Drosophila melanogaster: one gene and its partners. The protein of the gene in region 2 interacts with the protein of the main gene of each other region in a biochemical or structural test. Each region holds a gene or a part of one and is shown on either strand. Other genes may lie near its edges.

Region 1 (6,894 bases), on a different chromosome or scaffold from region 2:
AAACAATGCGTTTTTAATCAATATTTTAAAAGTGCTTTGCTTGGTAGTTAATAACACATGGTTTACTTTAATCCGTTAAACATGGTATAAAACTTTTATTTTTTACAAAAATGTATATGTTATAAGTTACTAAATCTTTACATGCTTTTAACTACCCACGATAACTCAACACTCACTTTAAATACCTTTGTTTCTGAAAAAACTACGTTGACACTTATTTCCAAGAATGCTGAGAAGACATGCGGAAGTATACACTTGTAAAAATATACAATCTTCGTTTAGTAGTTCAGCTAACATAAAGGGAAAAGTATCGCTTTCTAACAATGGTTTGGAAAAGCTTGCATATGCTATTGTATAATGGCATTTTTTTTAATGAACAGAATACAATCTGTTATTCGTAACTCAGCTTAAAAGTGCGGGGAAGGTTGAAGGTTAACCACTACTCCTACTTGGCGGTTAAATTTATTGCACTCTGGGATGAGAAAAAATTAAAAGGGTTTCGGTCGTTAGAGTAAGTGAAATTCGCGACATTCATACGTGATCCTGATACAAATATGCTCTTCACTGAATTTAGTAAGACCATTTATTTTCCGCTCGATAATATATACGTTCATACGGAAAGAAAGACGGACAAACGGAAATGGTTATATAGACTCTGATTCAATCCTGCACAAGACGGTTCTTATATACTTTGGAAACGCTTCCTCCAGACTGTTAAATACTATGCAACAAAAATATAAAATATATACATATATTTAAATATATATATCACTTTTTAAATAAATTGGCAGTTATCAAAACCTTTCAAATATAAGCGTATAAGTATTGTAGAGCGGGAAAAATCAAAAGACTACACATTGAACATTCCACATAAACAGAAAAAAATGTTTTAAATAAAACAAAAAAAAAACTTTAAAAACTCGAAACCAATTTATTATAACTTACAACATTTTTTGTATAATTTACAACTACAGGCTGCTTGCAATAATCAACAGTTCATTAAAGAAAATAGGTACTATTAGGAGTGAGCATCGACTTCAACAGTTTTACAAAGAAATAAAGGGTTTAACCAAGTAAGGCGAAATAAAATTACATGTGTTTTGTCTTGCTTCCAATACTTAAGTCGTATGGGGCATCTATCATTGGAAAAATTTCAGTTTTCATTGATCCGGCATTTCCCTGTAAAGCGCATAGGCGCTCTTTAAACAGGTTAGTTATGGAAAGTTCCTGCGCTGTTAAAGATGCATTAGCCGAAGACAATGTCTTAGTAATTAAATGGGAAACATTTTCAGTTGGCAATGCTCTAATTGATGGCGACGTTTTCAGCTGATTAGTGATTTCGTTGTCAACATTTCCCCTTATTGCATTCGATTTAAAAGAATTTGTAGTCAGAGTTTCAATGTGCCTTGCAAGTCTTTGTTTTCTTCGGTTTTGACTTAGCCCGAAAATTCCAGAAACCATTCCAGTAGAGCATCCACTATTACTACCAGTCGATGGGGTTGAAGGTGCAGTAGAAAACTCAGGAACAAGTAGAGGATCGGTAACGATTGACTCAGCTGAACTTTCTCGATTGTAATTAAACACAATAGGCAATTGCGTTGTGACATTATAATTTTCTGTAACATCTGTTAAATTTGATGCAGATGTAAGCAAGCGAGAGGTTTCAATGTTAGAAGATGAAGACAATGAAGCATATTCTAAAATAATCTCAGCTGCAGTGCTACAAGGCTCTACGTCTTTTTTGTGGCGAAAGGTTTGCCTTGTCGAATGCCATATGCAAGTGGGTGCTGAATTTGATTCTTCGCAATCGCTTTTAACACTATCACTGTAGGATTCATGAGGGGTGCTAGCAGAGCTGGATTGATGCATATTAACAGATGATGCGAGTTGTAATATTATATCTTCTATTTCGACCAACGTTTTAGGTTTTGCTGAGGTCAAAAAAAAATCGGACTCACTTTCAACATCTGGAATCTTAGAGTGCACTGCATTTGTTTTCTGTGGCAAAATACTTTCATTAGACAGTGCTATAGCAGCTAATGCCATGATAGTATGTGTTGGTGTAGATGTATATTCACCATCTTCCTCTGATGGGAGTCCTAATCGTTGTAAGCTGCGAACATAATAGAGCTCAGCGCTGCTCCATTGATTATATAATCGTTTTACCTCTTCCAGTAAGTTTTCAATAGACTTGCGATTTCCATTTAGTTGTCGTCTTACACTTTCCTCAAGGGCTGAATTAGAGCCATTATTTACTTCAATGTGACTTTGACGTACACTTAACCTTTTCCTAAATTTACCTGAGCTATCTGAGAGATTATCTAGTTTTTTTTTAATGTCGATAAGAATGTTTTTTTGCTCCCTGATAAAATCACACGTGTGTTGTAAGTCGTACCCATCTAGGGCTTCCTTGTTCGATTTTAATTTTGGTGAGTAACAATTTTTGTCGTCTTGTTTATTTTTTTGTTCTGCTCTTTGATGAACGTTAGAAAATTCAAACAAAGGGGGATCTACACAACTTATGCTGTTTTCGATATCTTTAATTAACTTAATATTGTTATTATTATCCTGCGAAGATGGGGTTGACAGAAGCTCATCTTCTCGAAGCATGGTCTTTTTAGATCCCGAATAATGAACCATGTTGAATTTATTCGAATGAAATTCCCGTTCAGCTAGCTGAGACCGAAGAAGCCGAGCGTATAAAAGTTGTGTGGCCAAAAGCTGCTGCTGCGAGCATGGCTGCTGATTTAGCATACTATTCGTATATATACAAGAAAACATTTCATTTCGTTGGCGAAAACTGTCATTTTGCCAATTTTCTATTTCTTCAGCGGTTTGCCAAGGCTGAGAAATTAATTTATTCGGACTTAAAAGAAGTTCGGAAAACGATGCCTCCATTCCGTCTGATCTACTTGATGGTACAATACAAACTTTATCCAAATCATTGCAGTTATATTGTTCTATTTTGTTGGCAGTTAATTGCGTATATTGGTTATTGAACCCACCATCAGGGACCTGGCTCGTTTTCAAATTGATTGAACATTTTTTATCGTGCTTTTTTTGTAGATCCTCATTGCTCTTCTTTTTCTGGTAACTGATTAATTCGTTTGAGTTTAAATTAATTTCACTATTAGTTGTTCCACAGTGTGGCATTATCGGATTTTGTGGGAGCCTGCTGTTAAAATCCGTTCGGTGTTAGTCATTCGTTAACTTTTTGTTTTATATTTTATTTATATTATTTATTGGATAAATTGTATTTCAAAATTTTAAACATTTCTATTAACCTTTAGAATCTTAGTTCACCTTGATGACTCAAATTTAATTAAATTAGTACTTTTTCAAGCACCATTGTACAACTTTTCAACATTTCATACAGGGTTCGTTGTTTATAAAATTTTCTTGCAATATTAATGAGATTTAGATAGCGTAATATTTATGTTATAATCCAGAATCCATGCGTTGTTTTCATTTTTTTAATTATATAGAAATCTCATTTTAATTAACGTTACCCTGTTGCTCGACTGTTGCAATATGAGGTCGTAATTTTTTTTTGTTTTATTTGTTTGTTAATTGTAATTTCCACATTGTGTTAGAGGAAGCCACAATTGTTTTACTTATTTAGTTCACTGTTAATATGGTCAATAATCGGTTTATATACTATCTCCATTTATTCCGACATATTTATATTACTAAATCGATCAACACTATATTAGTATTATTATGGAAACAAAAGATGACATCCTATTTTTAAAACTTATATTTAATTTATAAATACACTTTATATGTAAACACTCGATTTCATCATACACTTCGTGTTATTATTCTACTTGTGTTCTAATGGACAAATCGAATAAAGATTATTTTTTTCATTTGTGTTCATAAATTGTTCTTTCCGGAAATTGTTCAACTATTTTTAGGCATTGATTCCTTTAGATAGATTTTTCGCAAAATTGTATATACTGCCACAACAATTGTCTGATTTACTCTCTTTCGGTCTTTAAAAATAAAACTTAACGATAAAGGTGTACGACGCGGAACAAGAGAGACAAGGACGAGCCATCGGCTCGAAAATAACTGCGTGAGAAACATTGCGCACAAACTTTGTATCGAGCACATGTTTGTAACGAATTTGTAAAAAAAAAGTAATAGATACTATTAAATTTGTTTTTTTTTTCATTCTTAATTCATTCTTAAGAAATAATAAAGTTGTTTAATCTGTATTTTAAAAATATGTACTTCTGTGTAATGTGAATTTTACTGCTGCGTAAATTTACATTTTTACAAGTAAAATCGCAAAATGATGTATTTTTACAAATATTTTACATGAAAATATTCATAGCATCCAATGTTGGTACGACTCTTTTCAAATTTGACTTTAATTTACATTTTTTCTATACGTAATTCCAGATTAAAAGTAACCCATTTTTTAATTTTATTCATATTTTGTGTATGTATGTTAAATTTTTTGGATTTTACCTGGCAACATAACACGTGCAAAACTCAAGTGCCTTCAGATATAGATGGCGCCATGTAATTTCAAATCATATCTACGAATATATATATTTATATATATATGTATGGGCTTCAACAACGGAATACAGTAAACTAAACAATATTATATTAAGCTTGAGTTAAATTTAAATTTTCTAGACCACCTTAACTTAAAGCAAATAATTTAACATTTTGATTTAAAAAATATTATCAAAATATTTTTTATAAATTAGTACTTGAAAATTACATTTTTCGAGGATATATATTAGAAATTTATTTATTCACTGAAAACGGTTGAAAAAATCGGTTGATTCTAAATTAAAGATGTGTAAAACTTCTTATCACTAATCTTAATTGGCCAATTCAACTGTTTACTTGCTCATAATTATGTTCGTTAGTATTAATATGTCTTCGAAGAAAGTTTATTTTCGGTTGTCAACAAAAAATATATTTGTATATATATATATAAATATTTTTCGCTTTTCACAAAGAAGTTTTTTAGACAAATAAAAAACCTACTTTAATACATTTTAAATCCATGCATTTTAAAAAAGGCCTCTAAAGTCCAGTGACTCGACCTAAGAAAAAAGCAAGAGAGAATGCTATAATCGAGTTCCCCGACTATCAGGTACCCGTTACTCAGCTAGTGTGAATGTGAAATTTCATAATTTTTCTGGGATGTCAATAGATATTGAGGAGTAAAATGAAAAAAAATTTTAAAATTGTTCCAAGGCGTGGGAGTGACTGGTTCGGCGGCTTTAGAGCGTTAAAGTGAGCGTGACAAAAATTGAAAATCGATAGAAATTTACAAGACTAATAAATCTAAATAAAATAAAAAAAATATCAACACGTTTTTCAAAAGTGTGGGCGTGGAAGTTTTGTGCGGCTTGTGGGCGTGGCAACATGAGTCAACAATGTGGCGCTGCGTCTTGGTCTCTAGGATCTGTACGGTGAATATCAACCTACTAGCTTTTATAGTAAACAACAATTAAAATAGAAGTATGCAACAGCTAGATGGAAGCCTTTACGATATATATTCTCTTAGTATATATATTTAGTATATATATACATTTAGAATAGATATATTTAGTATATATATATATATATTTAGTACATATATATTTAGTATATATATATTTACTATATATATATATTTACTATATATATATTTAGTATATATATATAGAATACATGTTCCTGATCACTAGCAGAGTAGTTCCGGGAACTAACAAACCTAGAAATGTTAGGTTTCGAAATCATAATAGTTACACTTTTTGTTGAAATTAACATATATATTTATATATATTTTATATTTAGGATATAATTTTTGCAAGGATACAAACAAATGTTACATTTTCAGAAAATATATCTCAACAAATTTTACAAATATGTGTTATGTACTCAAAGTTTAAAAAAGGCTGACGACAGAGGTTTAAAACCGTTATGGATGTTTTTAAAAAATTAATATTAATAATATTTAATAATTTCAAAATTGTATACAAACTAGGTAAAGAAACCGTGCCAAAAAACAGTAAAAACAACCTTTATCAGCACATATAGAATATTCCGTAGCTTGACCTTTTTAAAAACTGTAGTCGATCTTTTCCTACGAAACTTGCGTATTTTTTAAAAAGTAAGCTTAAGCAGTTGAATGAAATAAAAGCGAGATGATTAAAGTTAAGATTTAGTAGGAGAGACATGCACACACACTTTAGATTTAACGTTTCGATCAAGTTGGAATCGAACATTCTAAGTAGTATTTTAAGAACTACACATTGAAACTATGCAAGCGTATGTCGAAAATGAGAATGTTACAATGTTTTTCATCTTTGGGTGTGAACAATATTTTTTAAATAAAATAGGTAAGATTACATTTTTAGAAGTGAATATAATATAGAAGTGAAAATTTTGGGTAGTTGAGCCCAGAATCTTAAAAATGTCGTAAATGTCGTAAGTAAATGAAATACGAAATCAACTAAAAGACTATGATCCGATTTATGTCACTTCGCTCTTGATTTACATTTATTGCTTAAAGCATTTTCAGACAAAGGTAACAACGATGGAAAGAGCTTCACTCAAATTATATTTTAAGGCCTTATCTTAAAGTATAAAAGTAACTTGCTTAGGATGAGTTGTTTTCAGAAGGCAAATAAAATGTATAGCATAATATAATAAAAAAAAAACTGTACTTTATTTTTAAATTGTATATTAAAACAACATTATTTTTATGCTAGTTCAGTTTAAGTAACAAAAGTTTATGTACATTTTTGAAATTATAAGAGCCAGAACTTTAAAAGAAAGGGGTAATAAAATTCGAAATTCATTTTAGGGGTTGGTCCTAACTGCGCAGGCGCTATATCCATGAGAGGACCAATGAGAGAGTTTATATATAGTTAGAGGTCT
Region 2 (9,843 bases):
GCCTTTCTGCTTTTCTTTTTTTGTTTTACTGCCGATGCTGCTGCTGTTGTTTTTGTTGTTGTTATTTGCATGATTTCGAACATGTTGTAATAAAAACTATACGAGCTTATTACAAAATGAAAAAACTGCATGGTTTTGTGGATTTAATAAATAACTTCGTAGACAGTAGCCTTCTTATCGCCCGAACCCGTCACAATGTATTTGTCGTCAGTTGATATGTCGCAGCTAAGTACGGATGATGTTTCCTTCGACTGAAAAACGTCCAGTATTTTAATTGAGGATTTCCTTTAATATGATAAGGATGTGTGCTTACCTGGAATATGCTGGCACCGTAAGGTGTTCGCCATGCGTTAAGCAGGTTGTCTTTGCCGGTGGAAACGAACCATTTGCCGCAGGCGGCAAAGCGCAGCGACAGAACGCAGCTCTCGTGCAGATGCAGTTGATACTTGTCCGGTTTCGATGCGTGCAGCACCTCCACATGCGAGTTCTCCATACCCACAGCCAGCCAGTCGCCTAATGGATAATACAAATTATGTTATTTCTAGATGATTATATCTCGTAAGGAAGTCGTCATCATACCTGTGGGACAGTAGCCGAGCGAGAATATTTGAGAGCTGAAGTCGTGCTGTTGCAGCTGGCGACCCTCGCGCAGATCCCAGGAGCGCACCGTGTTGTCTAAGCCGCCCGTCCACAGCCTGGAGCCATCCGGACTGATGTCGATGCATGAAGCGCCGTCGGTATGGCCCTGGAACTGGCGCACCAGGATCTCGTTGTGCAGGTCCCACACAGCGATATTGCCGTCGCTGCAGCACGAGAAGCACACCTTCGAGTCAGGGCTAATGGCCAGAGCGTAGCAGGCGGGCGCCGCCGATGTTAGTTCCGCCTTTATGCGAGGCGTCGGACTGGCCAGATCCCAGATAGACAGGTTGGACGCCTCACCACCCACGATCAGCGTACGGCCGTCGGGCAGCAGCTTCACCGAGCGGATGTAGTTGTCGCGCTGCAGACAATCCAGCTGGCTAACTGGATTCTTGTTGCCCGGTTGCGAGATGTCCCATACCTTGACGCAGCCCTTGCCGCCCGTGTACACGTACTTTGTGGGATTAGAGATGGTTACCGCACAGACGACCTCTCCATGCGACAGCGTGTTGATCTGACGGGCGTGCCGCGGAATTCCAACACCCACCAACGCGTCCGGCGGGAACGGCACCGGTTGTAGACTACCCTCGCCGTTCATATGGAAAGAGTATGCACTGCAACGGCAAAATGTGTTTATTAATTAATGTAACCATTTAATTAGTGATAAGACGTTTAACGTTCGTAGAAATAGCGATATTATATACTCCTATCTGTGCCGATTCATACATTTATCATCTCCAATCGACTACATTGCACTTTGCATTTTAATCAGTTGCATTGAATTACTTTAAATACTTAATAACAATGCACGACAAAATTCCTATAGTCTACTTTTCGGACCGTAAATTGACATAAATGACTTACGGCTTTCCACCCGTTAGGGCCGAGGGATGTGGAATGCCATTGGTTCGCACATGGGCGTGCGGATCGTACGGCATTGGTGGCGGTCGTCCATAGGCTGGATCTGACGGTGGACGCTGGTAGGGATCGGCCGGCCTTTGATACGGTGCACCCGGATATCCGGCTGGCGGTGGTCCCTGCGGCATCATTTGTTTAGGATTAACGCCTGGCGCCGGAGCAGCGGCGTTCGGTGTCGGTGTGCGTGCCTTGGCGCCCGGTGTACCCGGCTTTTCCATCTAAATGAACGAGATTCAATTAGCTCTAACACTTTCTGGGTTCGACATTTGACATTTGGCTCACATCTTTTGTCTTGAGGCTGGGTGTGGAACGTGACGAACTGGAGCCGGAGCGTGAGGGCGGCCGTTCCTGCTTGATGCCACTACTGCTTGGCTTCTCCAGGCGCTCGCCATTCAAGCTTTCCCGATCGCGCACCTCCATAGACACGTGCTCGCCGTTGGGACGCGGTGAGTGGGATTCCTGCAAGGCACATGTATGCATTAAGTACTGTTTTTGCATTTGATGATAAATGTAATAGCAAAGGTGTGGTTTTTGTTTCTTTTTTTTTTTGGGGAAATTTGGGAGTGGTTGCATTGAATCTGGGCCGACACTCAACTCACCATTTCATTTGCAACATCTACGACTAAATCTTGATCGCTTTTCTCGCCTTCATCCTCCTGGAAATAATTTTGAAAAAAACACAAAAACAATATAAATCAAAATTCATACAAAAACCCACAACGAACAACAGCAATAACAACAACCACAATAGAAATAGTTAGTATCTAAATTTTAGGCCCTGTTCTGGTTTTCACATCATTTTACATGGTTAACAATTTAAAAACGCAAACAAACCATGAAGTTACGATTAGTGTTCCTTTTTTAAGTAAGACAATAAAATCAAAGAAATAAAACTAGTTAAAAGCATAGAAAATGTATATAGTTTACACATGTTCCACACTACTATTAAAATTTATAATCTAAAACAAAGTAAACCAGTCATAATTATAAATCATCTCCAATTTACATTTACACATTAGCTTTACAATTTGTGGAATATTAGAAACAAAATTCTATAAGTTGAGATACACCTTAAACCAACTACTAGAAATTGAAAACCGGAACAGGCACCATTAGATCGTGATGTTTTTTTTGTCTCTTAAAAATTAGCAATTTAGGTTTTGTTTAGCATGATTTTGGGGTAGAGTGTTAGCAGAATTAGACAACAACAATGGGTAAACTACGGAATTGAGTTTCTGGTGAGTTGAGAGACAGCAACAGCTCAGATGAGATGACAGTAATCGGTTATGGCAATCACCATCAACGCGATGATCTATGATACTACAAGTGTATAATGCTAACACTGAAAAAAGCTCGATACTCACTTGCAGTTTCTCATCTTTTCGACGCTTCGAGTCGTTCTCGATGTCCAGCGGCGAGCGTGTGCGATACTTCTCACGATCGGCCGGCGAAACCGAATTGCGCTGCAAGATCAGCATGAAAATTAGCTTGAAATATGCAGAATTTTGATCTAGGGCGTGGTACTCACCAATCGCTCCTCGGCGGCTGCTGGCCCCTCTAGACCCGTCGGCTTGATGTCCGGCCTGTGGTGTTCGGGCGGTTTGTTCAGCAGACCTTGCGGTCCGTGTGGCAGGCCCATGGTGGCGCCCAGGGCGCCAAACGGATTCAGTGCGCCCATCGGCTGAGGTGGTCCACCTGGCACCTGCTGGGCGTGGATCTGTTGCTGCAATGGAACCATGAGATCGTATGAAATCGGGCGTGCGCGTTGCTGGCTTTCGGAATAATGAACATCGTGCTTAGTGGGAATATGAAAGCATTGAAATGTGTGTACATATGTGTGTAAACACAACAACGACATTAACACTAAATGGTATTTGCCATATTTTTATTTTGTATCAAAATTTAATTTATTTATCTTTCGATTCATAAGCATAAGCAAAGACCATCTGGGGTTAATGGAAACAGCAACAACAATTGGCGGCATTTGAAGCGTTATTCAAATAATATAAACGTTGACAATCAGAAAAGGAAGAGGAGGTAGTGAGGCACTGGAGCTGTTGTTGTAGTTGTGGCAGTGGCACATTCGGCGGATGCAGCGGCAGACGGCAACAGTAAACAAACAATAAGAAATTAACTTGCAACGAAACAAACTTACTAAAAGTTGCTGAATTCCATGTTGCTGCTGATGCTGCACAACGTTGTTTGGATTGGATTGGTCGAATGCGAAATCATAACAAATTAGGAAGTAGAAAAACAAACTCAAATCAAATGCGGCCCAAGGAACAAACTAAACCGAAACGAAGTTCCCACTTAACGGTTGCCACATTTATGATATGTACTGTTTCATATATACGTTAGATTTCTTATTTTTTATACAATTTTCAAGATATTTGTTATTCTTTGAAAGACTGTATTACAAAGTACCCGGCAAACTAAATTTCTCTGCCTTTTCGGTGTGGCAACCGAATTTCCAATCGGCCATGCCCCCATTAGTGTCTATCTGAGAATGGCTGAAACCGTATTGCTGCTGCCGCAGAATCCATCATCCGTCCTCGATCGACTTACCCCAATGATCAGGTTGAGCTCCTGCATGGTCACCTGCTTCGCCCGCTCCACCGCCTGCAGCACTTGCTGCTGGTGGTCGGCCTGAAGGAATGGAAGTAGCTGGTTGATCAGTGTGTTCAGCCGCTTGGCGATCTCGGTCTGCTTGTGCATCTCCACGTTAAGGCCATAGGACATCTCGTAGTACTGAAAGTTGGAAGGCAAGCCGTGGCATTAGCTAAGGGATCTCGATAATTTGCGGATCATGACGACTTACCATAACATAATGGCGCTGCATCTCCGTCTTCTCGTTCGACAGCTTCTCGCACTCCAATTTAATGCTGGAATTCACAGGAAAAGTGATCAACGGGCAAATTAGTTGGACGACGGAAGCGAACTGAATTCAAGAACGCAAGGAAGCGGCGATTGTGGAGCATGGAGCATTGAGTTGCGGCTGGGGCGGCGCAGGTTAATCCTATGACAGCGGCGCATATGGCGCGCCAAACCGGTTTGCTCAGCTTTTTGTTTTACTTTTCGCAAAACGCAGACGCAGCATCCATCCACACTCACACTCGCACACTTCCATACGATGGCGGTTAAGGCTAAGGCTTAAAATGTGATTTCTTTGGGGCATGTTATTGTAAAGGCTTCTAATAGGTTTAACCTCAACTTAATTATTGGGGCCTAATCTCTAATTGCGTATTGCTTAACCCATGAAAACTATGCCATTGGATTATTTGAAAGTGTGAAGAATTTTACTTTTATCTGACATAAATTTGCGATCATAGCAATTTTAGTGGGCCAATAGTTCTTAGGGCCAATATTCAATGTAGTTTTTTCTTGACATAGCAATTACAAAGATGACATTTGCAGAGAGTGTCATTATGATGGCAAATATTTCCTTGCAAATCTTTATAGTAAAGATTTGCCTTGTATTCACAATTATAATGATAAACCTTGTATATCCCTTGTAAATATGATTCGCGTAATGTTTACATATGTAAACATTGCCGTGTATAGAGTATTCCACCGGATACTTGCCTGTGGTACTGCGCCTGCAGGAAGTTGAACTCCTCCTTGATGCGTTCCAGTGTATCGGCGATGGTGAACTTGATTGGACCCTGAGGTGGTGGTCCCTATTTAGATGTGAATAGAGGTGGTTGGTGTTCCGTACGTGGGCGGCACATGGCGCGGCGTGGTGGAAAGAGACATAAACACAATTAGCACGGATTCGGGGGTCAGAGGTGGGACCCACTGTCGGGTGAACTTACCCCGGCGGCGGGGTGGCGCACCGGTGAGGGATACATGTTGTTAGGCTGGTATGTTGCCGGCTAGAGCAAGAGCGATAGTTCCGAGGTGGACACCGATTTGCCGGAGCGGAAGTCCTGCTGCTCCTCCTGCTGCGTACGCCGCTTCCTTCCTTCCGGTTATCCCTGAGCACTCCACTCCTGCACAGAAACTCCTTGCAAAACGTGGACTAATATCTATCTGTTTGCCAGCGTTTTATGGTACTTGTTTTTTAGCTATTCTTTTTCTTCTGTTTTTTTTTTTAATAATATTTTTCGATGGCAGTTGATCCGCTTTATTAGTATTCCCACAAACGGAACCGGCACTTAGTGGCACTCCATGTCCGGGCTACTTCGCATTTTGCATATCCTGCGAATGGAATTTTACAACAACATATTTGCTTAGTTATGCTTTTTCATATTTTTGCACCATTTTTTTCGATACGTTCGCACGCACGTACATACACGCACACACACAGGCGCGCTGAGCCAGCGAGACACACGCACACTAGCACAGGAAACGGGAGCGAGGGTACGAGTGTGAGTGTTTACCGCCGAAAAATCAAGCGCACAGTTGCATGTGGCCCATGAAATTGTTACGCAAAATCACTGTTTGATTTTCGGGGGCCGCTGGACGCACTAATCCGATTGTGCAGTTAACCGGGCGGGATTAATCCAATGAAAATAAAACACTTTTCTTTCGTAAAGGCAGCACACTCCGCACAAACAACATGCGAACATATACAGACAGACTGCAATTAAACAGGGTTGCCATGCCGTTTGAAACGCGCACAGCAGCAGAAACACAGTTTGCACATTACTTTGATGTTTATTGTTTGTTATTTTTCCGCTTATCCGCATATAATTCACTTGCTTGGCCCTTTTCAATATTTTTCAATTGTACAGCCAATATATTTTTTATGATTTGCCCTGGAGGCGGCAACTCTGTTCGGCGATACGGGCACATACATAGAAACCAGCGAGTGGCCAAATCACACACACACACTCACTCACACGCGCGCAGCGCAAAAGAAAAATTATACTGTGTCCTATACAAAAAATAAACAAAAGCAATTAAAAAAGCGAGATAATGGCAGTACCAGTTTTATGCCCCGGATTAGCACGCTTTATCGCAAGATGTTTCTATGTTTTGCACTTAAATCTCTGGTCCATTTTTTACAGTTTCTTCGTTTTCGCCACCGAAAAGTGGGAAAATTATTTTTTGTAACTTTTCGCCCGTATAAAATTGCCTGTTTCTGCCGACCGACCGCGAAGTGTCTAACATTCGTGTATGTGTTGGGCAGCTTTGGCGGCGGCGCTCTCTCGCTCTCTCACAGGCACACACACACGCAGCGGCTCTCTCTCCGGCTCTACTACACGCGCACTCGCTGTACAAACGCGGCTTGTAAATGGCGTTCTCGTCTCAAATATTTTTGCAACAATTTCGGCACGCCGATTTTCACCTCGGTAGCACTTGGTATCCTCGCCGATTGGGGCAGCTGGCAATTGGGTGGCTTTTGGGGCATCGGCACGGCCCGTTTCTATTTATAATTTCCTATTTTCCTATCCGCGACACACAGACCGCGTCGGTCTCAGGTATGCAATTTGCGCTATCGCCTATCGATGTGTCGAGGGTCTGTTATCGCGGGCCACTCGCTTCAGCGGCGCAGTGTTGCATGCGCCAGTGTTAGGAAGTGCCTGCGCTGAAATCGAACTAGTTACACTCTGCGAAATAATAATCCTAATGTTCAAAGAACTATTACGTATTAAATTATTTATTTACAAACACTACGGTTGCAGAACAACTAATTAAATAGATTCCATGCTAACACTCATTTTTTGCCATGATCTTGAAAAAAAAGTGAAAAAAGTTCCGCAATAAATACGTAACTTAGATCTGTACATGTTCTTCAGGTGCAGTTGGCGCGCTTTTTAAAAATGAATAAATAATTATTCAGTTTATTATTATTCAGTCTGATTTGCTATTTTCAATCTTGTGAACCGTTAAGGACATTACCGATTCAAAAAACTTAAAATTATCAGTGCTAGTTTTCTAAAACACTTTTATTTTAATTAAGTGAAATATATTTAATTTATTATTAAATAGATATAAATAAATAAATATAATTTATTTATATTTATAAATAAATATTTATTATTATAAAATAGATTTCACTTCGGTCATTGCCAAAATAGATTTCCATTGTCAGAGCAGAGATATATTATTTGATATTTCCTAATTGGTAATAATTTAATTACCAATAAGGATTCCAATTGCCACCAACTAAGGGATTGGTCCCTTAGATCCCCTCCCAACATCCCAATAAAGTAAATTGTTTTGATATTTGTTTAAATTGGTTTATATTTGTTTTGCTAATTGCTTTTTTAATTTTGCTATTTTGTTGCCATCACAGTTGGGCTATCACAGATGCGTTGTTGGTTGGTTCTTCCATTCCCATTGCCACTCCACCCTTACCTTCCTGCCACTTAACCCCTTGTTTTTACCAGGGGCGCCACAAGGGCTGCTGCATGGGCTGTGGCGAGGGGGCGGGGCTGTCGCAGTCGCTGTGATATCCGGAGGAGGCGGGGCTGAGCGGAGCCTTGTCCATTGAGGAGCAGTCCATCGAGTTCTGGATGAAGTCGGCGGCGGACTGTGCTTCGTGGAATTGCTGCAAGTTCTTGTAGACGCGTCCCAGGTGAGTCATCACCGATTTGCCCAGGTCGACGCTCATGCCAGGTGTGGAGGCCATGACACGTGACACCTCGTTGACGGCATTCATGTAGCCATTCTTAAAGCTGTCCAGGGGGAGGGATTGTTCTTCCTGAGCCACCTTCTTTGGTGTCTTTTGCTGGCGCATGAAGATCACCGCTGACTCGAGCATCTCGGCCTTGTCCATGCGCAGGATGCCATCATCACCTCGTAGCTCGGCGACAAGTGTTTTCAGGTTGTCCAGGCACTTGTTCATGCGGGCACGTCGCTGGCGCTCCAGCATTGGCTTCTTCACCTTCTGGTAGATCTGGGTCTTGGTGGTGTATTCCATTTTTGTTTTGGTAGTAGGTTACGTAGTTTTAAAAATTTTTGAAAAATTTTGTATTCGGCTTGTTGCTGCCTGCTCGACGGCGTAATCGTGAGTGATATTCTGCTCTGCGAGGTCCCGTCCTTTTATACCGCTCCCTGGTCCCTGAAATCCACCCTCTGATACGCACCTTTCCTGCCCTCTCTTTCGCTCGCACGGCTAAACGCCGGTGTTGTTGTCTTTTTCACAAGGAACAGCTGCAACTTCGTAGGACGGAGGACAATCCTTGTGGCTCGTGGCGTGGGAACCGAGCTGAAAGTAAGTTTCTCACACAATTTTTTCTCGTTTGTTTTCCCTTTTGGCCACATGCTTCGCTCCGCTCCGCTTCTCATTTTTTTTCGAGTATAAGGATCAGGGCACATTTTTGCAGCTGTCGCTGTTTTTGGCTGCTCGCATTGCTTTCTGGGCCGGTGTTATTATCCTTAATGCATACTTCACTGCCTCATCCTGTCGTGTTTGGAATGGGAACGTTCATATATGGGTACATGGGATCGAAGCATGATGAGCAGGGGCAGGGGATCCGAACTGCTTGTGCGTGGGCCGCTCTGGCATTGTTATCCTGCCGTGCCATCTACTCGCTTATTGTTTCATCAATGCCAGCAGACGATGATTGTATAAGCCCCTACTCCTGCTCCGACCTCCGAACTGCGAACTCTGAGATCTCCTCTTTCCGTTCCCACAGTGCCCCGTCGACGAGTGTTTATTGGACACAATTAGTGGATGTGGCATATTGGCTTCGTGCCGGGTCGCCTTGGTTGTTCGATCGTTCCATCGTTTGGGCTGTCTGATCTCGGGTTTTTGGGTGGTTGGCAGGGGGACGTGGGTCAAACGGGCGCAGAAAGTGTGCCCCGCGTGCCACACTCGTGGCCGAGGTTGAGTACTCAATGCCCAGGCTGAGGTGAGGTGGGCCTTGTGCCGGAATGTCTACCTATGGGATGCACATAGTTAACTTCCTGCAACCCCCTAATTGGTAATTAGTAATTTTTCACCGGTTAATTGATGTGCACTTTTCAAATATCTTGTCTTATGGTAAATGTGGTTTGTTCAATGTGTGGCTCATCCTAATAAGATTGTTAAAGTAATCATAGGATACAAAAGTTTTCTTTGAATTTAGTTAATAGGAACTTATAATGTCTGGCGTATCTTTCTAAACCCATTTTTAATTAGCTAATATTAAGTGCTTTTGGTTTCGGAATCTTGGGTTTCGCATGCAAGTATGGTGTATTAGAATTCCATTGAGTAAATTTCACTTTCGAGTTAACTTTTATAAACTCTGTTTCTATTAGGAAACTAATCGACCTCTGACATCGATGCCTACCTATGGGATTTGTGTCCCTCCCTTGCAACCGCCTAGGGTATGCTACTTCCTCACTTAATAATTG
Region 3 (6,622 bases), on a different chromosome or scaffold from region 2:
GACGTAAGCTTGCGAGGGTTGCTCAATGGATAACGATTTGCGCGCCAAAAAGAGAGAAAGAGAGCCAGACATTGAACTCGCCGGCACAAATAAAACAAGTAGGTAGGAGTACTATAAAAATATAGATATGAAAAACACGTATTCTAGCTGGACTTTTTTTTAATGTAGTTTCCCTCTTAAATTATTGAGAAGTACAATATTTTACTTTTTTTTCTGCATTATTAATGGCATAATAAATCTTTTTTTGATGGGCAAGATTTATTCTTGTTTCTAGTCACGGGCAAATATCCCGTATTTTCGGCGCATACACGAGTTGTTAGAGAAAATGCCGCCAAGGAGGTAGGAAAATTTTGGGGCTGTCTGCCACGTGGCCAGTGACCAGACATCCTTGAAATTCGCACAACAACAGCCCGGAAAGGAAAAGCCAAGTAAATTGGGGTGTTGGCCCAAAAGAGAGAAATTGTAGTACATATATATATGTAAATATATATATTATATATGTAGTATATATATATATATGGGTTCTTTTTATTCTGGGCGTAGTTCTGCGCAAGAACATCATCATCATCCCCCGGGTGATAAGTTTTTCGGAAGAGAGAGGATGACGCCATGGAGCAAATAAACACAATGAGCCATGAAAGCCACGCGCCGCGCCAACATTTTCCCCATTGTGGGTGGCAAGTGGGAAAAATCATAAAGGAAAGTCCAGAGCAAGAGCTCAGAGCATTGAGCATACAAGCACATCGCAGCGAAAAGCACAAAAATCAATGGGGGAAATGGAAAACCACCGCAGACAGACGCCGGCGTCGCGTGGGCGGGTTTTTTCTTCTCTTTTTTATTGTTTTTTTTTTTTTGTGCAACGTAACAAGTTTACTACGTTTGCTGTTGACGTAGGCGTTTTCCGCCAATCGATTTTCCGGTTGCCTATGGTATACAGCGTACTTGTGCGTTTGGGCGTTACTCTGCACCCACACGAAACGGAAGTGCGAACACTAGTTGAATGTGCAACACCCAAAGGATGGATGAATGTGCGGGCGGGCGGGGGGTCATGTGGCCGGTTGTAAACTAATCGGCCGCCCCACGACGTTGTAATTAGTATGCCACTTTTGGTAGGCGTTTTAGACTGACTCAGGCGTAAACTAAATTTTAATGCATCCCCAGGGATCTAACTAATCTCTACTGTTTTGCCATGCATCCAACGACCAGACCATTTTGTATTTCTTGTAAGACATTCGGACTTTAAGCTTCCAATATTGATGAAAATGGGGCATATGAAAAGTATATAAATTTGACTCACCGGAATCTGAGGGGGTCTCCAAATTGGGACCATCGTCCACCATATCGTTGCAGCGCGTGTAGCTGTGATCGGTGATGTGCATCATGTGCAGCATGCCGTTGCTGTTGTTCTTCAATTTGTTGTTTTTGTTGTTGCTGTTGTTGTTGTTGGTGGTGATGCTGGCATTGCTGCCGCTTTTGCTAGTGCGATGATGGCGCAGGTCAAAGTTGAGGGGTTCACCGTCATCGGAGTCACTATCAGAGCCGGTCGTCGGCGGAGAATCCACTGTGTTGCGTCCAGTGGCTATATCGATGGCCTGTTGTTGCTCGTCCAGTTGCTGTTGGTTCAACTGCTGTTGGCCACCCGTCGAATTGGAATGCTGGTTGAGCACATCGAGGACATCGTTGATCGGCGGGATGTAACGCACCGGCAACGGATCCTTGCCGGTATTCTGAAGCTCCCTGCTGATTTGCTTAATGTAGTTGACATCGCTATCATTGCCGGTCAGCGAGATATTATTGCTGCCCATCACGCAGGCACGCAAGTCGACGTTATGTCTAAACTCTGAGGCGGCCACCTCGTCGGTAAGACTGTGAGGTGTGTCTGGTCTCTGGTATTTTATGCTATCGCTGCCGCTCAATTCGCCCGATTTGCGGATAATGTCCTGGTTGTTCCGCTTGCGGAGCAAACTTCCGCCGGGCGGTATTAAATGGACCTCGTCCTGGATCTGTGACTTCTTGTCACCGCCGCTCAAACGGAGGCGCTTCTGACAGACCGTGTAGTCCAGATCTGCGAGCTCCTTCTTGATGATCACCGGCATGTTCTCGGCACTGTTGACGACATGCTGTTGATTTGACTGGGTGTTATCTGTCGTCTGCGATCGTTGATACGCGCTGTAGAGATTCGTAGAGCCGGAAACCATCGCCAGGGATACGGCACCGGTTTCGCTGTACGACGAGGCTGCACTGTTTCCGCTCTCTATTCCATTACCGTTACCGCTGGTCAAACAGCTGGACATCGCCGGCCACATGCAGTCGATGTTGCGGATCTCTGGCTTCATATCCTCCTCTAAGTCATAGTCTTGAAATACACTTTCCATGTCCTCGATCTTCTCGAGATCACTCTGAATGGTGGACGACGAAAGGAGTTTGTCCATATCGTACAGATCATTATCCATATCGAATATTGAAATATTTGAAAAAAGTTGGTCGTCCATTATGGAATACGGATCAGAGCGGTAAAGGGCCATTGCGATTATGTTGTCTGGGTTTTTTTTTCTTTCTATATATCTTAAGTTCCTGAGTTATATGCCTGTCTGAAAAATATAGATAAGGCGGAAATCGTTGTAGGTATGATTCTATATTTGAACTTAATTAAATAAATATGTCGGCAACACACTTTTTGAAAACTTCTTCAACATAAGGATTTTTGCAACATTTCAACTATAATGTAAGAGTAACTAAACTCCTAATATTATTATTGTATTAAGTCACGTTCTACTGTGCCAGATTTCACCTATAATGACGTCAGGCGATGTCGAGGGTTCAGCAAATGTTATCAAAAGCAAATTTAGCTTATAGCTTCATTTATACACTATTAACCATTTGAACCCGAAATCGTCAATCTTGGCGCTCTTGACAATAGCAAAAAAAAAAAAAAAATACATATACTAATGAAATAAACAAGGGCATAAAAGGAAAACCAAATATCAAATACCCAATTCCAGTTACTGAAAAATAAACGGTCCTTTTACCGATAAACGCAGACCTGCAAAGCTTACTGTGCTTTTCCCTTTTCGTAGAATCCGTTGCATTCCGGTAAACAAGTACGAGCAAAAACTAACAGTACATGTCTTTCGCAGAATCGAACGCAACCCGGTATATATTGAATTTCAGAATCATAGTAAAATTGGAATATCAACATTTATTAAATTATTATTTAAATCTTTTTAAATTTATTAAGCTAATTTATTTCTTTTTTAATTTATCAAGCTAATTTATTTCTTTTTTAATTTATCAAGCTAATTTATTTCTTTTTTTAATTAATTGATTTATTTCTCCTTTAAAAAGTTTAATACTTTCGTAAAAATTTTGGGACCATTTTATTTAATTACTTTGGAGCCCCAGAGTTCTGGAATTTTCGAACATTACCAACTCGTTTCAACGCCATCAAAGCGTTTTTAATACTTGCCAGCATTAAGAAGAATTTCACAAAACAATAAAGAACTTTGTAGAATTTTGTTTTGCAAAATTCGTCCACTTCCACTTTTCTATTGTCTCACTTTTTGTTCTTAATTTCTTGTAAGCACTTGATTCTTAACATTCCTTCTGAGTTCCTAGAATCCGTTATTTCGTATCGATTTGTGCGGCCATGATCACTGATTTGTCATTGTGTGTGAGAGCACCGTTAAAAGTTAAGCTATTTCACCTTTCCCAGAAATTCTATTTTGAATTCCCCGTAGTGGCGCGATTTTTGAAGTCGTTGCGTTCCGATAAATAATATATATTATATATATATATCTTTGCACTCACCTCGCTGAACATAGTTTCCGTATCCGTCTCTATTTAATTGATTGTAATCCAATTTAGTTAGCTTCCTTTGCTTTCCAGTCGCTTTCGGCTATATCTATTTCTATCCCGTTCCCGTGCCGCCAGCAAGTTGGGCACTTTTTTTTTTGCGTCAAAGAAGGGGAAAGACGGAGAAAAAACACCAAAAAAAGGGACACAAAAAAAAATTCTTCCCGTTTATTTTGCACTAGCTGATTTTTTTTAAAAAATCTTTTTTTAATTCTAGTTTTTCACAAGTTTTTGTTTCTGCTTTGGAGAAGATTTTTTTTTATGTATTTGCGCGGTTTTAAGTCGGCTCTTAGGTTATTTCTGGGATTTAGCACTTTTGTAACTTGGCTGTGACAGTTGTTAGTAGTAGTTGTATATTTTAAAACGTGTTGCTTCAGGTTTTACTACAGAACTATTTATATAGCGTTTGGTTTTTTTTTTTTGTATCGGGCGGAAAACAGGCAAAAATCCAATCCACAAAGCGATTCTCTGAATTACCCGCGGTGAACTGAACACGCGACGCCACAGAAATAGTGCCCGTTTCATGTTGTCTGTGGCTTAAATAAAATTTCTATCGTACCAGACTGCCGCGCTCTCTGCGCTCTCACTGCGCATGCTCACTGCTGCTCTCTTTGCTGGAATTCGCTTTAAGTGGTGAGAATAGGAGCTTCAACAAAAATCTTCTTTGACATTTGGATCACATTTAGATCACATTTGGATTCATCACGATTTGTTAATACTCGAAGGTTTTCAAATAGTACGCAATGCATTTAAAATGATCAATGTTTCTTTGCCTCTCCCGCACACTGGTTCACATAACAGCATCAGTTTGCCGGTATTTTTTTTTTGAGTGAAAGAGAGTGAGATTTTTGAGTGGTGTTTACAATAATTGAGCGCAAACAAAATTGAGACAAATCGCAAATTGCTCCGTAAATAAAAACATAAACAATTAACTTGAACTGGCTCAAAATGTTTTTGTGAAATAAATGCAATACGAAAATGTGTAGTTGACTGGAAATCAAAACAAAATTTTATTCATTTCCTTAATTTACTTACGGTATGTATATTAAAATATAGAAATTAAATTTATAAATATACGCATTTATTTATGTTAATGTTAATCGACATAAAACTACAGGTTTCAATTGCTTTTCTGTGGCATTATTTGGGATTCTTCATTGCCGCATAAATGTTTCCTATTTTTAAATCGATTTATTTTAAGCTCTATTCCTTTTTGCGTAGAAGTTGCGAGAAGTTGTTCATTCCCTCTTGCTTTGGCGCCTTACATTTCTTTCGTATTTCCTTCTTGCCCTTTCCTTTATCTATGCATGCATTTACCGTACTTTTTTTTATGTGCGTGTGTGCCTTTGTCACCTCTTTGTCTGCCACGCAACTTCATTTTCCGTTTTGTCAAGTTGATTGAACTTGTGAACTTTGTAAACAATGCAGAATTCATTTAACAATAATAGAAAAGTTAGGCCGCATGGTAGAAACAAAAGAAGAGCCAAACATTTTGTTAACGAATTAAACGATGCCAAGGAAATGTAAAAAGAAAGGGAAAAGAATAGAAACCAGCCAAAAATATTACAACTTTGGAAAGAAGAAGTTGTGGAAGAAGTAGAAAAGGGTAATAAGGTAAAGGCGGATAGGAAGCAAGGGGACCTTGAATGAAAAATAGAATATAACATGCACAAGCATACGTCTCTACATACATACATACATATGTATGTATGCACATTCCAACAAACTTCTTAATAACTGTTTGTAAAATACAATGTACATAGTATGTGTACTACATACAAATAATGATTTGTGCATGTGTACATATGTTTATCGCACAAATATGTACATATGTACACATATATCAACCTTTAAAAATCGACTTGAAAGGACCTGCATTTTGAATTTTGCCCCTTTTAGAGAGTATTAAATCATCAGGTGGTTCCGACGCAAAGTTCCTCCCGCTTTCTACACCCCGTCGATTTTGTTACGTTTCGCTTTGATTTTCATTTCCACAACTTTTAGTGCACAACATAGCGCTTTTGGCGCGTGCATCTGCCCTCTCTTTCACACGCTTTGTTTTGATTTCGCAACGAGGCGAACCAGCAAAAAAAAAATGCACGCTGCACACTCGCCCAACTACTCTGCAATTTGCACATTTAATTAATTGTTTGTACAAGCGACATATTAAAAAAAAAAAAAAATTGTTTAATTCTTCTGTCAATGGAAATCACAAACAGCCCAATAAAATTCACCTTCCAACATTCCGCTTTAGTATCCATAAGCATACAAACAGCCATTCGTTGGCAAAAAGCGATATGCTCCACTTTTACAGGGTACAACTGCGTCACAGACAAAAAGAAATGGTCCCGCAATTTGCGAGCTTTTGTCCGTCCAAGTTCTCGATTTCAATAAGTAATATTTCTTGTGTTTCGATGTTTGCGCAATTTATGTTTGCGTGTGCTGCTTGTTTTTGTAATAGTATTAAACTATTTTCTGCACTTTTTTTTTGTTTCGCGGGTAAATGGAAAGTGTGCATGGCGAGATAAAACAACTGCGTAAATAACGGCAGCAAGTGGCTGCCGAGTTTCCATATCTAGTTTGTCAAGAATTTGCAAGCTTTCAAAAAATTGGCCGTAAAAATGCAATGCATTGGCAGTAAATCGAATAAACCGGCAGTTATGGGAAACATCGAAAATATAGAAAGAATGGAGCAACTCAGGAAAGTGAAATGTAAGTACATAAATATACATATGTACATACATACATATTAGCATTAGCAGGTTACGTT
Region 4 (7,788 bases), on a different chromosome or scaffold from region 2:
AACGACTGTGTGCAATCTTTACTTAGCTTTTACGAGAATTTTCCCCTGGACTTTGAGGCTGCACGAGTTAGTTTTGTGAATAGTTAGCGAGTGAATACTGATCCAGTCATACGGCGAACGAGACTAGGCCCAGATACAGACGCACTGCAGCAAGGGAGTGGCAGGCACGCCGTGATGAGCAAGTGAATGTGGCTCTCTGCACTTGATTCACCAGCAAATGGAAAACAATTTTATTCACTTATCCGCTTTATCGCACTCATATTATCAGCATGATGCGGTATTTTTTCCGCAGACTTCGCGGAAACTTTTGTCACGAGCATGACGATTAATGGCCCAGGGATTTGCTTAGATTAGAGTGGGGGCACTATGAGAATTGAAGGGCGTGACTCGGTTGCTACTGGGTAAGAGATTTCCCTAATGGTTGATAAACTTGTATATATCACTGGATTCGAGTGGTTAGTTCCAGGGAATTTCCAAATGTATCCGTAGCTATCGGTCATCCATGATCCATGGCGATATCCGATTTAGTTCCAACTAACGCGAACCGGATCGACTTTCCTGCGGCTATAGTGGCCAACTTCTTGACATTCCATATCCCTAAGAAATTCGGTATTTTGCTGAATCGTTAGCTAATGGAATTTCGGATTTATTGCAATCAGAGCTAACCTGCCTTGATTTTAAAATATACCCTTGTGCGCCTTAACTTTTGCTGATCACTTCGATTGGAATAACCAATGATTAAATTGCAAAATATTTTAAAATATTATCGATCAAAGGATTATAATAAGTATTTATTTCGTCACAACTGTTTCGAATTACTGGCCTATCGAACGGATGTGTGAAAATCAAGGCATTCCTATATAATGTTTATGATGCACATATATCTATATCCGTTACGGTCTGGCCACAGAAAAACCTTCAACTCGTCGTGCCGATTATATTAGCAGAAACGGACATAATCGAGCCCCTTAAAACGTAGTTGTATTATCGTCGAAATCCCCGCCGATCCTCTCCAGCAAAATGAATTTCACCATTGGCATTATAATAATTAGCGTCGAAATTTGCTACGATAAGTCGGGGGGCTCGATAAGTTTCCTGTCACTCAAAGCGTTTGACCTCTAAAACAAAAAAAAGAACCATAATGGGACTTTCACCCGAATGAAAAAAAAACCCAGGAAAAGATACCCCAACCACAATAACAAATCCGTTTTGCGTATTTGATTTTTTAGTAGAATCTTTTAAATTTATTTCTTTTTAGTGTGTTGTTTGTTTGTTTTTTCTTTCTTGTTGATTTTTTTGCTTTTGCTTGCATCAAATTCTTGTTTTGTTTTCTTAGAAGCTCATTATGTTCACTATATCACGTGGCCTTACGAATAGATTTGTGTGTTTTATAAATATAATTATTCTTTGATTAGACTTAAGAGCGAGAGAAACCCTAAGCGGCTTAGCTGGCTATGGTACAAAACCTATACTTAAATGGAGATGTACGACTATGTGTAAGAGTTATGCTTTTGCGTTTATCTTTTTCATAAAAAGTATTTCAGCTTTTCAGGTGCTTATTTTCGCATTTTCATTTTCTGTGTTTGGAAGACTTTTGCTGATTTGCTGTTATTCAAAGAGTAATACATGATACATGAGGCAATTCAACACCAAGTACTTGGACTGAGGTAGTTTGGCGATGTCCTGGTAGAATACCGTTCTCTCAAATCGATTACATAATATAATAATAAATAAATTATAACAACGTTTGCGTGTGTGTGTTTGTGTGTGGGTGCGTCTGATGAAGGTCCTTAGCCTCGTCGACGGGTTTCCAGGATATAAGCCAGGAAACTAAGCCAACGAAGTTGTGAACCGAGTTTAGGATTCGCATGTTTGCAACACTTCAAAGCAACATTTGCGCAATCCCGGCGAATGATGTGAAATGTCTACGCGCATGCGCACAACGCCTGCGCATGTGTGCGAGTTGGATGAGTTGTGGGGGGTCAGTCTTAAAAGCGGGAGATTCGATAGGGGTGGCTATGCTATATGATATGCATATGCAGACACCCTCTACCAGGGCCGCCAGGGCTGCTCCTCCTCCTTGATCTGCTTCTTGATCACCAGCGACAGGGGCTGCTGCTCCATTGGCACGCGCTGGATGACCGATGGCTTGATGTCCATGGGCTCGTAGCTAGAGTTGGCCGGACTGGGCGGGGCGTAGCTACAGCTGCTGCTGCTTCCGGGCGCCGACTCGTATCCGGCGGAGGAGTGCGAGCTGGCGGATCCGGTGCTGGCTGTACGCTGGGGCATGCTGACCAACATGGGTTGCTGTTGTGCTGCTGCTGCGGCCGCTGCTGCTGCTGCGACGGCGAGTTGCTGCTGCTGCTGTTGGTGCTGCAGCAACTGTTGCTGCTGCTGCTGGGGCAGGCTCTGGGGCAACACGAGGGCAATGCTACCGTTGGGCAGCTTGGTGGGGATCACCTGCATGCCATTGGGCAGAAAGTAACCGCTGGCCGTCTGCTGGATACCAAAGAGGTAGGGTGCCGCTGCTCCCTGCTGGCTATCCTGCTCCGGCGAGCTGGGCGGCGAGGGCAGCATCTGGGCGTGGATGGACTGCTGTTGCTGCTGGCGCTGCTGCTGGTGCAGCTCTGTCTTAACGCCATTGATGCAGTTGCTCAGGTGCTGTAGCAGGCGACGACGCTGGGCGGGCTCGATGCCGGGAAAGCGGCTAACCTCGTTCACACAGTCGGCGAATCCGGCCTTGAATTTGTTCACAATCTTGGGATCGGCGGCCTGCTGCATGGCTGCCTGCTGGCGCTGCAGCTCCTGCAGATGCTTTACTGTCTTCTCCAGAATGTCGGCCTTTTCCAATTTGGAGTGGCGAGCCGGCTAAAAGTAGAGAGAGAAAATAATTTGGAAATTAGTCAATGATTTAAACTTTTAAAAAATATTTGAGATAATTTCAAATATGTAGTTTTTTTTATTTTATTTGTGGCTTTAAACTTATATTTTTGTCAGATACTTACGTCTTTTTTGGTGGCATCCAGAATCAGAGTCTTGAGTTCATTGAGACAGTTGTTAATACGGGCACGTCGGCGTTTCTCCATGATGGGCTTGTTCGACTGCAAGAGGCAAGAAATGGAAAAAAAAAACATCGATTAGTCACGGCTTTTGCACGGCTAATTTGACCTCATGCAACGACCCAAAAATAGAGGAAGCTGCATGGGTCTTCAATTGGATTGGAGGAGATCAAGGAGGAGGCGGCGTAGGTTGGGGAGCGGATTGACTGGCTGGCGGCCAAATTTAGTCGCACGGCGCGTGCTCTATTTATAGCGCCACTCGGCCGAGGCATTTATTTAAAAATAGTTTGGCGGTTATAAATTACAGGCAGTGGCTATAAATAAACCAACCAGGTATGAGCAAAAATAAAGAGAATGTGACAAGGTCAGAGCGGGAAATTCGAAGATGCCATAACTAGGTACATTATTATCTAGGGAGCACAAGTTGCCAAATTTGGACTCGCATGAAGTCAGTTTTTTTTTTTCTGGCCAACTCATTGAACCGGTGCCGTTCGAATGGCCAAAAACGGCGGCTGATGACCGACAATTGCAGCCACCACGCGACGCACGCGCCAAGTGGCAGCCAAATCCGAATCCGAGTCCGAATCTGGGGAGCTGGTGGGCAGCTACGCCAGCCAATTTTGGGCGGCACTCATGAATGGATGGAGCGTGTGTGTAGTCGGAGTAGTATGCCATATGCCATATAGTAAATGCCACCAACGCGACGCGAGATAAATTCGCTTTGTGTTGGCGCGCCGACGGCAGTTGCGGCCTTTTTTTGGTCTGGCTCAGAGTGTTTTTCTTTTTTCGTATTTTTATTCCCAGCCAGCCATGTGGGAGATGGCTAAAAAGGAAATGCATTTGGGCAGCGGGATTGATGGGGCCAGTCGCCCACAGTCGCGAATGGAAATCAACTTGAGCTCGAAGTGGGTGGCTCTCAATTAGGGGAATTCTCGGTTTGGTTCGCTTCAGTTAATCCACAGATTTCGGGGAACTAGAGGTTCTGATTTAATCCATTGACGGGGTTTTTTGTTTTTGGCTTTGGATTTTTTTTTTCGAGTCTTATTTTTCTCGAAAGAAACTTACCCGACGGTCACTTTTGAGCGGCGTCTCCTTGAGCTGGGCCGGCACAACGGCGGTGCCCAGAACGTTGGTCATGTTGGCTGCTGTTACGCCGGTAACCATTTCGGTCAGATATTGTTTGTTGAGTTTGAGGCACAGTTTGGTTTTCACTTGGCAGCAAATCTGAATTTGCTGCTCTTTGCAATATAAGTTCACTGCTTTTTTGCTTTTTTTAGAATAACTCAAGTTGTCAGTTTTTTTTTTTTTCAAGTTCACTTGGTGGTTTCACTTTCGCGCAGCGTCGCAGAGAAGCACGTAAAATGGTATTGTGTCTGGGGGGGTTCTCTAGATTTCGATTCGGTTTATCAAAGCGGAGCGATAGAACCGCACGCTACGAAATACGGCAGGCGAATGAGCAGCAGGTTCTGGCTGCAGTGCGATTAAAAGACCGAAACGACTCGGCACGAAGCAGAAGATCGATCGTTCGGCTTTCGGATGGTTGCGCTATATATATGTATGTATATATATATATAAGTATTTGCTTTACTGCGTCTGGATGTTGCGGAGCGTAGCGGGACTACCTTATCGCTGGGCTCTCGGCGGAAGACTGACGATTGATCGACAGGTTCGTAGGCTAAATCGCCGCTGCGAGACGCGAGCGCGAGCCACACGACCGCACCAATACAATTGCACTGGCATTGCGGCTACCTAGGGGTATACATTATGCGCTACCTGCTCGCTTCAGTGTGTGTGTGTGTGTGTGCGTGCTCACGCTTGTGAGCGGTACCTAAAGTACACACCGCGTTACTCATACGCCCCCGTGGCTCGCGGGAATGGGCATTTCTTCCTTTTTGGAAATCACACTGCGAAACCCCCATTGGTGATCGTCGGTCGGTCGGTCGATCAGCGATCGGTTTGGCTTGACTCTGCTGGGCTCTGCTAACTGAGGGATTCACAAGAGGCTGTGTTTCTGGCTGTGCTGTTGGTGATGGTCGCGGTGGTGTTGGTGTTGTTGCTGCTTCTGCGGTGGTTTCTGGTGGCTCGCCGTTCGTGGTTTGCTGATTCATGCGGCCAACGCGACGACGTCCCATAGAAGGTGAAAATAGCTGGCTATATGACGCCACCCCAGTGCGACAGGTTCGGTTTTTTGTGCTGTGTACTGTGTATCTGCGGCTCGGGGGTCGCTAAACAGTAAACAAGATCACAAGGTTGTGCGCACGCTAGGCGGAAGTGGGTGGTTGGGTGGTTGGGTGGTTGGGCGATCGGGCAGTGGGTGGTGGCTATAGTTATCCCCCTAGCATTTTCCAGACCAGTCTGTACAACCGACTCATTCAGCATGCCGTACGCCTCAATTAAGTGAAGGTCGCCCTTTTGGCTTTTGATCGATAGCCGCCAACGGGCTAAATGAAATGGAAATCGCTGTGGACAAGGCTGCGTGGATCACACGTGCTCCGCCGGACGCTTAGATTCAGCTTGATGGCTTCTACGTGCAGCGTTGGATTTTCACGTTTTTCATATATTATTTGTTGTTTTGTTTTGGAGTAATGATTTATCGAAGGTTGACTATAATTACGCGACACGCGGAATAGTCGGGCATCAGAAAACTAACCATTCATTAGCAGAATGAGAAGAGGGGCATTGCAGTGAAAACTGGGAATATTACAGTGAAAATGAAGCTTAAATTATATTGTTTATTTGGTAGTAAAAAGCCAAAGTGCGTCACACACATTTCGTTACAACCGAAAGTGATATTTTAAATAACTGCTTAAGCCATCTATTATTTACAAAATATGGGTTAAGTTTTAAGAAATGGTAATAACCATGTAATTAGTTTAACCAGGCTGAGCTCAGTAAAGGTAGATGACACATATTTAGGTTACACGATCTATAAAAGGAAATTACGTTATCTTTGACGTTTGTTCTTGGGAAATATTTTTAAAGCCTGACTTGGACTCTGACCACTGATTAGTGAAGTTATACCAAAACCACGAATCGTCAACAAAGTTACATTGGAATGAGTCAGTCAGGCTTTAAACATTCAAGTTGGCTAAAAACGGGTGTTTACAATATTTTTTTTATAGCGAAACCACCTGGCAGTGTTTTTATAGAAACTAATAAAGTTGACTCTAATGAAGATGAGTAAAAAAACGTTTAGAAGTTAATTTGATTTTACTACACTTAATTTCTGCTTAATAATTAAATGAAATTGAACTTAATCAACAATCACGTCTTACAAATATGCATATCTATCGATTCGTGAAAATACTCAAAAAGTTTGGGGAATTTCTGACATTTTTGACGGTTGTCTAAAGTGTTGTGCGTTTTGTGGTCGCCAGAGAAGGTTGTTATGCCGAGAACACATGCCCCAACAATATGGATACATATATATATAGACGGTAGTGGCGGACGTCGACAACACCTTCGCGTTCCAATTACAATTTGGCAGCCGATCAAAAGGCGGCCCGCCCGCGGTCAGCGTCGGCAGAGGCGTTGTCGGCGGCAGAGGCGGCACTTGTGCATGCCAATTTAATTGCAACGAAAAGCAAAAAAGAAAATAAACAAAAAAGAAAAAAAAACGAGAGGTCGGAAAACGTTGGCGGCGTTTTACATCATGCTAGCTGGCCAAAAACAGCCAAAGGTGTGGATGTATCTCACGGATACAACGCTAAAGATACAGTCACAGATACAGATACACTCGCAGTTGTTTGTGCGTTGAACGCCCAATTTGACGCCCCATTGTTGTTGTTGGCGGACCCGATCACATGCAGCTTCTAAAATAAACTGTGGCAAAAATTTATAGTCGAAAAGGCGCAAGCACACAAAAATGTGCGCATTGCTAATTGCGTCTAAAATTAGACAGCGCCAGATCCCCCAGATTCCCCATAAGCCCCGGGAGCCCTGATCACTGAAAACAAAACAAACACGTTGGTGGTACGATAAAGAACCCCTTGAAGGTATTTCGAATCATTTTGGACCATGTTGGTTAACTATTTAATAATCGTAAAGGCGTTGATAATAACATTATAGCATATGTATAATATTATAGGTATTATTATTTGCTTGTATTTTATAAGATCAATGAATTCAATTTGTGTGCCATTATCATTCAAAATGGTTATTCACTAGACTCAAAATACCATATAGTTTTGACTATTAAGTTTAAAATATACAGAAAATCTTATCTTAGATACTAACTATGTTGATATTATTTATATATAGTATCCATAAACTATACTATATATACTATACTATGTATACTGTTGATCGTAGGGCTCTTTTAACAGCAACGTTGCGAGTTTAACAGCGACAGAAACCCCCACGCGCCGCTTTTAACTTAGTAGGTCGGCAACAGCAGCATGTAACTGAAAATAACAGTACTTGGTGGGGGTAGGGGAGCAACTGTTAAGCCCGAGAGTGGGGCAAACAGGGAGAGAAAGAGAGAACATGCGGACGCTCCATGGCCGCGGCGAAAATAAATTTCTAGCCGCGCGCGCCACTCTCGCGATTAAAACGCCATAAAAATCGCCAACGCTGTTAAAAACGCGCGCCACATTTGAGCTATCCGCTGTTTGCAAATGCACTGCCCAAAAATTTTACATACAATTTTCTAAAGATTTCAGCATAAATTTGGTTGATGAATACAAAACAGTGATATAATGCTTCTGATTATATTATCATTCTACAATAT

Evidence for each region.
Region 1: the proteins of gro (region 2) and pan form a complex in vitro, tested with the Drosophila melanogaster proteins (one study listed by BioGRID).
Region 3: the proteins of gro (region 2) and Myc form a complex in vitro, tested with the Drosophila melanogaster proteins (one study listed by BioGRID).
Region 4: the proteins of gro (region 2) and hry form a complex in vitro, tested with the Drosophila melanogaster proteins (2 studies listed by BioGRID).

The regions. Positions count from the first base shown.
Region 1 is NC_004353.4:87,473-94,366, reverse strand, and holds the start of pan (pangolin), read right to left. Parts: upstream 4,013-6,894; 5' UTR 3,154-4,012; coding exon 1,094-3,153; intron 1-1,093. UniProt on the Drosophila melanogaster protein: Segment polarity protein. Functions together with arm to transduce the Wingless (Wg) signal in embryos and in developing adult tissues.
Region 2 is NT_033777.3:26,038,906-26,048,748, reverse strand, and holds the start of gro (groucho), read right to left. Parts: upstream 7,014-9,843; 5' UTR 6,848-7,013; intron 6,670-6,847; exon of another isoform or gene 6,485-6,669; intron 6,109-6,484; exon of another isoform or gene 5,937-6,108; intron 5,930-5,936; exon of another isoform or gene 5,846-5,929; intron 5,755-5,845; 5' UTR 5,406-5,754; coding exon 5,370-5,405; intron 5,235-5,369; coding exon 5,140-5,234; intron 4,440-5,139; coding exon 4,376-4,439; intron 4,306-4,375; coding exon 4,123-4,305; intron 3,746-4,122; coding exon 3,713-3,745; intron 3,281-3,712; coding exon 3,086-3,280; intron 3,021-3,085; coding exon 2,922-3,020; intron 2,214-2,921; coding exon 2,157-2,213; intron 2,017-2,156; coding exon 1,840-2,016; intron 1,776-1,839; coding exon 1,504-1,775; intron 1,254-1,503; coding exon 580-1,253; intron 514-579; coding exon 314-513; intron 252-313; coding exon 144-251; 3' UTR 1-143. Other genes in the region: E(spl)m8-HLH (enhancer of split m8, helix-loop-helix), read right to left, coding at 7,886-8,425. UniProt on the Drosophila melanogaster protein: Transcriptional corepressor that regulates transcription when recruited to specific target DNA by hairy-related bHLH proteins. Maternally required for neurogenesis; in the segregation of the neuroectoderm. Directly or indirectly interacts with Notch and Delta.
Region 3 is NC_004354.4:3,370,909-3,377,530, reverse strand, and holds the start of Myc (Myc), read right to left. Parts: upstream 4,373-6,622; 5' UTR 3,808-4,372; intron 2,592-3,807; exon of another isoform or gene 2,588-2,591; 5' UTR 2,526-2,587; coding exon 1,298-2,525; intron 1-1,297. UniProt on the Drosophila melanogaster protein: Participates in the regulation of gene transcription. Binds DNA in a non-specific manner, yet also specifically recognizes the core sequence CAC[GA]TG. Seems to activate the transcription of growth-related genes; required for cellular proliferation and growth.
Region 4 is NT_037436.4:8,672,685-8,680,472, reverse strand, and holds hry (hairy), read right to left. Parts: upstream 4,715-7,788; 5' UTR 4,224-4,714; coding exon 4,125-4,223; intron 3,102-4,124; coding exon 3,006-3,101; intron 2,869-3,005; coding exon 2,050-2,868; 3' UTR 1,220-2,049; downstream 1-1,219. UniProt on the Drosophila melanogaster protein: Pair-rule protein that regulates embryonic segmentation and adult bristle patterning. Transcriptional repressor of genes that require a bHLH protein for their transcription (e.g. ftz).